Arabidopsis thaliana: one gene and its partners. The protein of the gene in region 1 interacts with the protein of each later gene in a biochemical or structural test. Each region holds a gene or a part of one and is shown on either strand. Other genes may lie near its edges.

Evidence for each region.
Region 2: the proteins of AT5G56040 (region 1) and AT2G41090 form a complex in vitro, tested with the Arabidopsis thaliana proteins (one large-scale study listed by BioGRID).
Region 3: the proteins of AT5G56040 (region 1) and CAM8 form a complex in vitro, tested with the Arabidopsis thaliana proteins (one large-scale study listed by BioGRID).

What each region holds. Positions count from the first base shown.
Region 1 is NC_003076.8:22,692,778-22,696,534, forward strand, and holds the start of AT5G56040 (Leucine-rich receptor-like protein kinase family protein), read left to right. Parts: upstream 1-2,045; 5' UTR 2,046-2,272; coding exon 2,273-3,757. UniProt on the Arabidopsis thaliana protein: Receptor with a serine/threonine-protein kinase activity.
Region 2 is NC_003071.7:17,133,347-17,137,103, reverse strand, and holds AT2G41090 (Calcium-binding EF-hand family protein), read right to left. Parts: upstream 1,758-3,757; 5' UTR 1,282-1,757; coding exon 1,206-1,281; intron 1,103-1,205; coding exon 742-1,102; intron 625-741; coding exon 486-624; 3' UTR 105-485; downstream 1-104. Other genes in the region: AT2G41082 (uncharacterized protein), read right to left, coding at 2,175-2,279; AT2G41080 (pentatricopeptide (PPR) repeat protein), read right to left, coding at 2,550-3,757.
Region 3 is NC_003075.7:8,396,013-8,399,769, forward strand, and holds the start of CAM8 (calmodulin 8), read left to right. Parts: upstream 1-1,699; 5' UTR 1,700-1,787; coding exon 1,788-1,866; exon of another isoform or gene 1,867-1,950; coding exon of another isoform or gene 1,951-1,975; coding exon 1,976-2,133; intron 2,134-2,554; coding exon 2,555-2,635; coding exon of another isoform or gene 2,636-2,683; exon of another isoform or gene 2,684-2,693; intron 2,694-3,757.

The DNA of each region.
Region 1 (3,757 bases):
AGAAAAACCATCACACTTCATTATAATAAAAACCATCACCCTTCATTGCATACATATGTGAACATGTATAATTTGGAAGCTGCTTAGCTATAACAGTCATTAATTGTCGACGACACTAATTCAAATAACGATAGATGCGATAGACAAAAGAACAATATGGACCATTTAATGATAATCATAAGATTTGAGAAAGAAATCAAAATTTTAACAAGTTTGGAAAATACAGTTGGGTACTTGTCTTTTCTCTTGCATCTTTTGCTGTCTCTTTACTTCCTTCTTGTTTGTTGGTTTTTGGCTTATTGTTTTCCCTTTTATTTTTCCTCTTTATGGACCATATTCATTTAACTCTCCCCACACATGTTCGTCTCTTATTTTAATTTTATTTTGGTATGACTCTCTTATTTATTTATTAAAACTAAACAAATACTCCATAAGTTATAAACCAAAGAAAGAAGTTATAGATCAAGGGTTGACAAAACGTTGGAGCTTAGTCCAAATGATGAAATGCCTCACACGAAATATGTACATACGTCGAATTCAAAGCGTTAGCAAAACTTTTGGTCTTAAAGTTGAGGTCATTTGTACCACGGTGCGCCTGAGAATGATTTAGACACACTAGTACTGTTTATGCAAATGATTTAGTATGTACATTTCATGTAAATGTGGTAGACCCCAAGAGATATTCGTATTTTTGTGAGAAAGAAACTTTGTTACTTGCTTACCATTAATGTAACTCTTTAAAATGAAAGAATATCTGTTGTCTCTAACTTACAACAAAAGTTACATATTACGAAACATATTACATCAATATATGATTAACATCACCAGTTTTTAAGTGAAATTTACGGTAATTAGAGTACACACTATTCCATAATTAAATACCTGCAGAATAAAACCATGTTGTCGAAATGCTTTCTCTCACTTTACTATGTGTATAGATATGCACATGCATAACCATCTCTCTACATATCTATTGATACATATTTAATCTTTTGATTCTACTATGGCATGTGACTTGAGGTGTGGTGTTATATCTTTATATATAATCTTCTTGACCTAATGATGCTTGACCCATGATCTTAATTTTAGTTTACTTTATCTTTTCCATAATCTTTTTGTTTTGTCCAGTTCCTCCTTTTTAATTTTTCTAATCAGTATTCTAAATTTCCAGTCCAAGAAATTGGATCTAAAACACCTTCATCTTAATTCAATATATGTATGAGCAAGTGTATATATGTATATGGATATTAATTAGTATTAGCATACGTATGATATAAACAGATAATTACAGCGAATGAAATGGACCGACAATGCTAGCAGAGATGAGCATTAGTAAATTTAATTAATCTTTCACATAAATTCCTAGCTTTCATGTGCATTTCACACTCTTCAAGATTCCATGTTTCAACTACTAATTTAATAATTTATATATCAGAAATCCAAAGTAGATATCTCCATCTTTCTTTCAGTTATTTACTAATCTCATTTTTACCACTATATAGCCACTTCAGACTCTCCCAAAGTAAACAAAAAAAAAAACAAATAATCACAATCCAAATTATCTAAATGTTTCTTTCGAAGCATTAGAAAACCCCAATTATGTTATGCGTCGTTTATCAATAATAGGTAGTAGTAGTACTACTAGTAGTAGCATTCAACAAATATCATTATTAGTAACTAGAAGTCTAGAAGTCATTATTGATCTGAGTAAACGTTATCTTCCTTTTGTTTCTTAAAAGATAACAATCCAGAAATAACAAATAATAGGGCCAATTCTAACATGTCATTTTCTGAATTTGATAACCTAATTTTCTTAGATGATTTATGACTATGTAATAGTTAGATCTATAGGAGTTTTTTTTTTTTACCATTTATGAATAATATTATCAGCATGCCTCATCTAGAAGCATTTACCACAGATAAATCCACTTACAAGAAAAGGAATAAATATAATTTACCACTCTTTTCATCTATATTTTTATTTAATTTTCAACTTATATAATTCTGTTTTGTTCACAAACAAATAATGGTGAAAAAATAAAGTGACATTGTTTGGAAAATAATAATAAAGGGAAAAAGGTAGAGGTGCTTTTTGGGATCCAGATCTTCCTTTACTACTTCTTCTTCTCTCTCTCTCCTTTGGTTTGCTCTGTTTTTATATATTTCTATAAAATCAAAGTAAAAACCAAATCCATGGGGTTCTTCGCTTCACAATCCCAACGCACCTCTCTCTCTATCTCTCACTTCTTCTTCTTCCTCTCCCTCTTCACCAATGCCACGTAACCCTAGATTCTGCTTCTTCCTCTTCCTTCTTTTTCACTCCTCTCTTTTCTTCTCCATCCCCTGTTTTTCCATAGACGAACAGGGTCTAGCTCTCCTCTCATGGAAATCTCAGTTGAACATCTCCGGAGACGCTTTATCTTCTTGGAAAGCCTCCGAATCGAATCCTTGTCAATGGGTGGGAATCAAATGCAACGAAAGAGGTCAAGTCTCGGAGATACAACTCCAAGTCATGGATTTTCAAGGTCCGTTACCGGCGACGAATCTCCGACAGATAAAGTCTCTGACTTTGCTCAGCTTAACCTCCGTGAATCTCACTGGTTCAATCCCTAAGGAGCTTGGAGACTTGTCGGAGCTAGAAGTTCTTGATTTAGCTGATAATTCTCTCTCTGGTGAAATCCCTGTGGATATCTTCAAGCTCAAGAAACTAAAGATTCTGTCTCTCAACACAAATAATCTCGAAGGTGTGATTCCATCGGAGTTAGGGAATCTCGTTAACCTCATCGAGCTCACTCTCTTCGACAATAAACTCGCCGGAGAGATTCCTAGAACCATCGGAGAACTCAAGAATCTAGAAATCTTCCGTGCAGGTGGTAACAAGAATCTCAGAGGAGAGCTTCCTTGGGAGATTGGTAACTGCGAGAGTCTTGTGACTTTAGGTCTCGCCGAAACAAGTCTCTCCGGTAGACTTCCGGCGTCGATCGGAAACCTGAAAAAGGTTCAGACAATAGCTCTTTACACGTCACTCTTGTCTGGTCCAATCCCTGATGAGATTGGAAACTGCACAGAGCTTCAAAACCTCTACTTGTACCAAAACTCAATCTCTGGATCGATTCCTGTATCAATGGGACGTCTCAAGAAGCTTCAAAGTCTTCTCTTATGGCAAAACAATCTCGTCGGAAAGATCCCTACCGAGCTAGGCACCTGTCCGGAGCTTTTCCTCGTCGATTTATCGGAAAATCTCCTCACCGGAAACATCCCAAGAAGCTTCGGAAACCTTCCAAATCTCCAAGAGCTTCAGCTAAGTGTTAACCAGCTCTCCGGTACAATCCCTGAAGAACTCGCGAATTGCACGAAGTTGACGCATTTAGAGATCGATAACAACCAAATCTCCGGCGAGATTCCGCCGTTGATCGGGAAATTAACAAGCTTGACGATGTTCTTTGCGTGGCAGAATCAGTTAACCGGAATAATTCCAGAGTCTCTTTCTCAATGTCAAGAGCTTCAAGCGATTGATCTCTCCTACAACAATCTCTCTGGTTCGATACCTAATGGAATCTTTGAGATTCGAAACCTCACGAAGCTTCTTCTTCTCTCTAACTACTTATCTGGATTCATACCACCGGATATTGGAAACTGCACGAATCTTTACCGGTTAAGACTCAACGGTAACAGACTCGCGGGGAATATTCCGGCGGAGATTGGGAATCTGAAAAATCTCAACTTCATCGATATAAGTGAGAATCGTCTCATCGGA
Region 2 (3,757 bases), on another chromosome or scaffold:
ATTGTAGTCCAAATGGGTCAAAGGGCGTCCTTTGTTTTGCTCAAAACACTTGGGTTATCGAAATTGTAGACGTGTGTTTTCAATGTTGCAGGGCAGGTTGGTGCGAGGCATGTCATTATTCATTAGATGAGTCCTTATAAGAGTCTTGAAGAACTCTGGGACGGTGAGATATGAGGCTTAGCTGATTTGATCACTGTATGTGCCAAATCATTAACCGATTTAGATCAATTTTTAGTAATGCTACCAGTTTTCAATAATTAGTTCTGCTACGTTTTAAATGTTTTTCTCAAAAGATACATTGATACCCCAATTATATTCGATACTGAAACCATATTACAAACTCATTTTAATAAATTGCATGCAAGAAAAGATGGTAACACAATAAATTTATTACATAGAAATTATTTTCAAAGATCAAACGCCTTTTTAGAGAGATCTAACATACCAGCCAGACCCTAATGGCATAAAGTTACTGATGTACCATTTCAAGAAAACAACGCTTCGAACAAATTTTTGATGAAGTCGGTCATTGGCGCTGCGATGATATTTTTGGCAACCCCGGCCGCCAAGTCCCTCTCCAAAGTGCCACCAGTTGTGTCATATTTAGTATCATGACCTTGATTCCTAGCCATACACACAAGAACTCAGAATGAAATTTAAGAACAAGAGAGGAACATTCTTTATGAAATTAGATAAGAGGTAGTAAAAAAAGGGGAAGCGGAAAAGTTGTTTAAATCTCACTTGGCCATCATAAGCCTGGCAAACTCTCTGTAGTTGATCTGACCATCACCATCAACATCAGCTGCCTTGATAATCTCATCGATTTCTTCATCAGTTTGCTTCCACCGGAGGATAGTCCTCACATATCTCATTTCAGCAGCTGAGATGAAACCATTCTTGTCTATGTCAAAGAGTCTGAAATCTTTCTTGAGGTCTTTCTCAGAGTAAGTGTCCTTAGCCATTGCGCACAAGAACTCAGTGAAATTGATGGTTCCGTCACCATCTAAATCCGAATCGTTGATCTCCTCCTGAAGCTCAGCTTGGGTCAGGTTTAAACCGAGGGAACGCATCACGGCACCGAACTCCTCTGTGGTAATGTGACCTACAAGAAGTAATCAAGGACTTGTGTTAGTCATTTTCAGTGCTTTGAAGATGATTCAGGATCCAATATGTACGATTAGAGGAATAGAGACGATGAACCATACCATCACCATTCTTGTCGTATACGCTGAACTGTTCCCTAAACTCTGAAATCTGTTGTCTAGTGAACTTATTCGCCATTGTTTTTTATTTTCTGTGATGACTGAGAGAAGAGTTTGTACTACGAACTCTCGGCCTTGAAGCCTTTTTTATAAAACTGAATTCACTGCCATGTCAGCTTTTGCTTTCATGTGAGTCGCCTCCTTGGTTTGTTACTCTAATTGGTTGGTTCCTTCTTCCAAATCGTTATCATCATTAAATGCTGTCTTTTTTTTCTTTTCTTTTTTGTATTTCCATTTATTTGAAAGAAACATTTATTTACAATGGACTAGAGACTTAATAATATATGGTCTTCTACAGAAGAAAACAATTGAATAGAATTATCAACGGTGAAGTATTCATTTGGACTTTTGGATGGGTAGTGGACCAATCGCTACATTTGTCTAAATTATTTCGTTGATTTTTCTCGTTGGTTCGTTCCTTCTTCCAAATTCATTAATATTATTTTCGTTCATTAAATGCTGTCTTTTTCTTCTTCTTCTTTTTTTTTTTTTTTTTTTTTTTGTATTTCCATTTATTGACAATGGACTAGAGACTTAATAATATATGGTCTTCTACAGAAGAAAACAATGGAATAGAATTATCAACGGTGGAAGATTCATTTGGAATTTTGGATGAGTAACTGGACCAATCGCTACATTTGTCTAAATTATATTTTACTTTTATGTTATAGTTTTCTTATACTAACTTTTAATAAATAGTTTATAAAAACACTCATGAGTTCTGGGAAGTGCTTCAACGTCCGTATTTATGCAAAACTTAACAAATCATAATAAAGCAAACACTTGCATAAGATAAAAATGAATCGAAGATGCTTATGACGATTGATTATCACATGTTTACTAAAGTGGTGTTGTTGAAGTTAACGAACTTTACCTATGAAAAATCTGATCTGAGGGATTCGCAAGTGCATTCTACTTGAGAACCCACTCCATCCTCTGATCTAACATCTCTGCTTTGGAAAGAATCGCAAGCCAAGGGTGTGGAAGGTTAGAAACTACACAAACGACCAAAAACATGGTACATACGAAATAACGCGAACCATAGTTTCTACCTTGCGGAGATGGCTTGAGTAAGTAAAGTTGACAGCAAACCACTTCATGTTCCTGACTCAAGAATAACACAGGCAGGAGCAATCTCAAGGTAGACTACAAAGCTACTACCCGCAGTGTAATTTTACCCTTGCTGCTGAATGCTTTCGTCCCAGATGGCTTCCCGATCCAATCTGAGTGCTTAAGACTCCAGAAAGACTCTGAAGCAGAGAGTCATAGCATACTTTAACTGCCCAGCTACCAATAATCGCCGCAAGAACACTTTCCGTTAATGAAATGATGGAATCTACTACCATCTCTTAACGTGATCTCTCGGTTCTTGATCACCGATATATATTTGAAAGCAACATGGCAATCACTGCAAACCCGCAAGTTCTTGATTATTCTAATCGGTGCACCTTCAGGTAATATCATGAGCGCAAATGCAACCGCTAGTTTCTCGCTGTGCTGCACCAAGTCTGATTCTTTCTCCTCCTCATCCATATCATGCAATACTGACGCTGTATCAGGCTTGTATCCCTTCAGCTTCATCTCCAGAGTCAGTTCTTTCAGGTATGAATAGATCTCTTTAGATTTAGACTGAGAGCGATCTCCCATCTTAAACTGATGAACTTCACCTTTGTGTTCAAACCAGCTGATTCCCGCTTCTTTCTTCACATTCTTATCTCTCATCGATTTTCTCACCTCTGATACATCGCGCCATCTCTTAGCTGAGGCGTGAACATTTGCAAGCAGGACGTAACAAGCAGAGTCATTAGGGTCAATCTGAAGAATCTCTTTAAAGACTCTCTGTGCCATTTCTGCGTTTTTGTGTATGTTACACGCAGATAACAATGTTTTCCATATAACAATGTCTGTTTTTATTGGCATAGACCTTATTATTGCCTCGGCTTGATCCAAACAGCCTGCTCGACCGAGCAAATCCACCACACAAGTGTAGTGCTTTAAACCTGGCTTGAACCCGTATTTTTCCACCATCATGTCAAACAACTCAAGCCCTTTGTCTTTTAAGCCAGAATGACTACACGCATAAAGTAAATTCAGAAACGCGACCTCGTTTATCTCCATGTTCGTCTGCTCTGCCATAGTATTAAACAGCTCGATTGCCTCATCGCCTTGTCCATGAAACCCATAAGCAGAAATCATTGAGCTCCACATCACTTCATCTTCATCTTCACGTTCCGAGAAAGCTTTAGCTGCATCTCCAAGACACCCACATTTTGAATACATACTGATCAATGAACTAACTACAGCTACGACAGAGCTAGCCCCAATTTTAATAGCTTCCGCATGAATCTGCTGACCTTGACCTCTTATCGCTAAGTCAGAACAAGAACTGAGCACAGTTACAAATGTGATCTTGTTCGGCCTACAACCTGAGATTTTCATCATCTTATACAGATAAAGCACGGTTTCAGGACATCCGTTTTGCGCGTTCCCCATGA
Region 3 (3,757 bases), on another chromosome or scaffold:
GTAGATATTCTTCTCAATTATGATATGTGACGTGGAATATATATTTTCATCTGTTATATAAAAACAGTCGCAATTATTCAAACAAAATGTATAGGAAAATAAATAAGTGGTGTGAATATGTGATTCAAATGAATCTGTAATATTCTCAAAATTCCTACCTCCGTGAATTCTAGAAAATGTCGTCGATCGGAACAAATTTGAAAATAGAATGATTTGTGTGGATAAACTTTTAAATCATTGTGTGGGAACGCACGGATTCTACAAAATCATGCTGGCCAAGTTAAGCTTCATAGCCTTAATGCATTCACAGCTATGGACAGTCGAGTTGTACGTTAATATGTCTTCTATGGACAGGAGCGGGTAAGATGGCCAATGAGGTCATTATGTTGAGATGTACGTAGACAAATTTCAATGTTGTTCTTTCTGAGTATTAAAAGAGTGTGATCACTGATTTTGAAGTCAGAAAAAACAAAAGAACATGTTTAAAGCGTCAAGTTTATCGCATCGTCTCGGTTCTCAGATTGTGTATTTGGTAGCTGCGGTGGTGGCTAAATTGCGGTCTCTTTTGTTGACATCACTTGTATTTCTTGACTAGTTATTTGTGCTACCTGGTTTTGAATGTGTCTTGCTAGTGCGGTTCTTCATAATTGAAGTTAGTGCTGCAATGAGTTATCACCTCTTGTTGCGTTTGTTTTGTGTTCTAGAAGAGTTAGTAAGATCGATGGTGTTCGATGTGGTTATGAATCGCATAAATCATGCTCTGCTCTATCCGACTTTGGGGAAAGAAATTGGTAGATGGAGCTTGCATCGTTCGCATAATTTGGTTCTTGAGGTTCCATATTATTGGAAAGCTTATGGACTTGAACAACGAGTCACTGTCACATGACGCGAGAGGAGTTTATGCCAGAGAACTTTGAGTTTCTACCGTTGACGGCTCATCCTTAGACCTCCAATTCAAAGTTTTTAATGCAAATAGTTTAGCATTATGCTTTTTTCAAGCAGTAGTTACCCTTCTTCTTAAAAAAACAAAAAACAAAAAACTTAATTATAAGATAAAATTTCAAAATAGTCATATTTTTATCTAACTCGTTCGGCTTCAACGCTTTGGTTGAGTTGATTGACCAAAACTTGTGAATCACGATGTATGCTTCTATGTTTTATTTTTCTTGTTATAGGATCATTTGTATAGGCTTAAAATCTTTTGATTGTAAATTTATATTTTTATCATTTCAATAAAATATTTTTATTTTTATTTAAGAAAAAACAGAAAAAAACAAAAAACAAAAGAACATAATTGTTGCGTACAAAATGAGTGGCTAATGGGTTTGAACTAGACAGAAAAAGTTAGGGACGTTTTATCAAAGACTATTGTAGGCTTATACTTGTTTGTTTTAGGACTTGTCGTTCTATGTCTATTTGTAGTAGTCTCTACTTGTTAGAATAAGATGATTTTTTCAAAACTAATTTTGCACAAGTGATTTGAACTTTAACAAACAGCGACAATTATTAATTTATTATATGGGATTCAGCCATGTGACTAGAATTAAATTGTTCAATCCAAGAGTTCTAGACCCAAAAAAAAAACAGTACTGCCCTTTCAATTTAAAATAATTTGAGAATCAATTAAAGAGCTTAAAGTAGTTGAAAAGTACATAAGTCCAATGTAGAAAAGGTCTTGTCACAACTCTACATATAGACCATAAATCAGAGATTTAAGCACTTCAAACCTTGAGCTCCCTCCTCTCTCTCTCTCTCTCTCTTTGTCTTCAAAATATTCTCAGAAAACAATGGAAGAAACAGCACTGACAAAAGATCAGATCACTGAGTTCAAAGAAGCCTTTTGTCTCTTCGACAAAGACGGCGACGGTTCTCTTCCTTTCTCTAGATGGTCATATATAGAATAAAGATAATAAAGACGACGACTAATATTATGTTGTGTGACATTTATTTATGGTTGTTTGGAATCCTTTAATAGGTTGTATAACGGTGGAAGAACTTGCAACAGTGATCCGTTCGTTGGATCAGAATCCGACAGAACAAGAACTTCATGATATCATCACTGAGATTGATTCTGATAGCAACGGCACCATTGAATTTGCTGAGTTTCTCAACCTCATGGCCAAAAAACTTCAGGTTCCACTCTCTCTTGATCTCTCATGCTTATTTATTTCACAACTAATTACATCAAGTTAACGTAGCCACGTACAAACCAAAAAGTTACATCAAGTGAAATTTTTTTGTCTATATGATTTCTTATATATTATGTTATAGGTCCCTTATTGTAACTCTTTGATATGGGATCCTAACAGGTTCTAGTCAAAATGGAGCTGTCTCATTCATTATGCTTCTAGTTTATTAAAAACTCTTAAGAAATATATTGGAAATATTCAGCTTTTGTATTACAGCAAAATCTGTTTTGCTTTCGGTTTTTCACTACGAATAAATCTGATTTGTGAAGAACTAGACACGTAAATGTGTATAATGTAAACAAAGACTTTTATGACAATAGTTTTTTTGTATGTTAAGTTGTTGTCATGATCATGTGATGGTTTAGGAAAGTGATGCGGAGGAAGAGCTGAAAGAAGCATTCAAAGTCTTTGACAAAGACCAAAATGGATACATCTCTGCCAGTGAGGTCCGTGACTCTTACTCTCTTTTTTTTCTCTCTTTATTACTAATTTGATATATGTGTCAATGTGTATATTTAGTTAGATATATGCTTGACTTATTGAGAACTTAAAAGGGAACTTATGCGGAAAATCCTCTTTAAGAACTTATAAAAACAAATTAGTTCGATGCACTGGATTGCGTTTTGTACAACGTTCTCCAATAATACCATGTACGGTCTAACTGTGTTTTTATTTGGTTATAAATGATTAGAGCTATAATTATTTAGATTTTTGTATCTACTAGAAATCCTTATCTAAATTTTGGTTATTGTCAAATTTAGTTTAGGTACATGAACCAATTTCATAAATGTCTTCTTTGCTTAAGTGGTACATGCTCTATATCTCTAAAGTGTCGTCAAATACAGGCTAAGCACAATAATTATGAGCATAGTATTTTTATGTAACCACTTGGACCAATTAATTCTGCATTAACTAGAAAAAACGAGAAATCCAGCTAAAACACACTTTCACATATGTAGAATCAATGACAAATATCAGACAACAAAGCCAGACGATCTTCCAATTTAAAGAGATCCATAGTTGTCTCATTTATGTTCTAAAACATTTTTTAACAAGACATGGCCATTTATTTATTTGATTTTATATTTTCGAAAGTCTGTTTTCCATCGTGAGGGCTTAGAGCTAGCTGGCATTGTGAATCTTTAGAGAATAACGAAGAGGAACAAAAGAAATTTTAATACAAAGTAGTTAGATAGAGTAAAATGCGTTTGATTTTATTGGTTTATTTGACAGGAGGGCACATGTTTCACCTAGTTTAATTAAATATATATACCTTTCTTTACATCCTCAAAAGTTACATTAATGCAGACACCTTTTTGCATGCAACACAATTCAATTTATTAATTTGGGGTTTTCTATATCGATTGGTCAAAACTTAGGCTAAAACCAGCTGTATTTTGCTTACAACTTAAAAAAAAAAAAACTAAACAATTGTATGAATTTGGTTTATTCATATTTTTCGTACCGAAATTAGAAATTGTTCAAGTTAGGCCGTTTGACCTACTATATTGTATTGCATATTCAAATGGATAATAAACAATTATTATTCTCTGTACAGGGTCAGACCC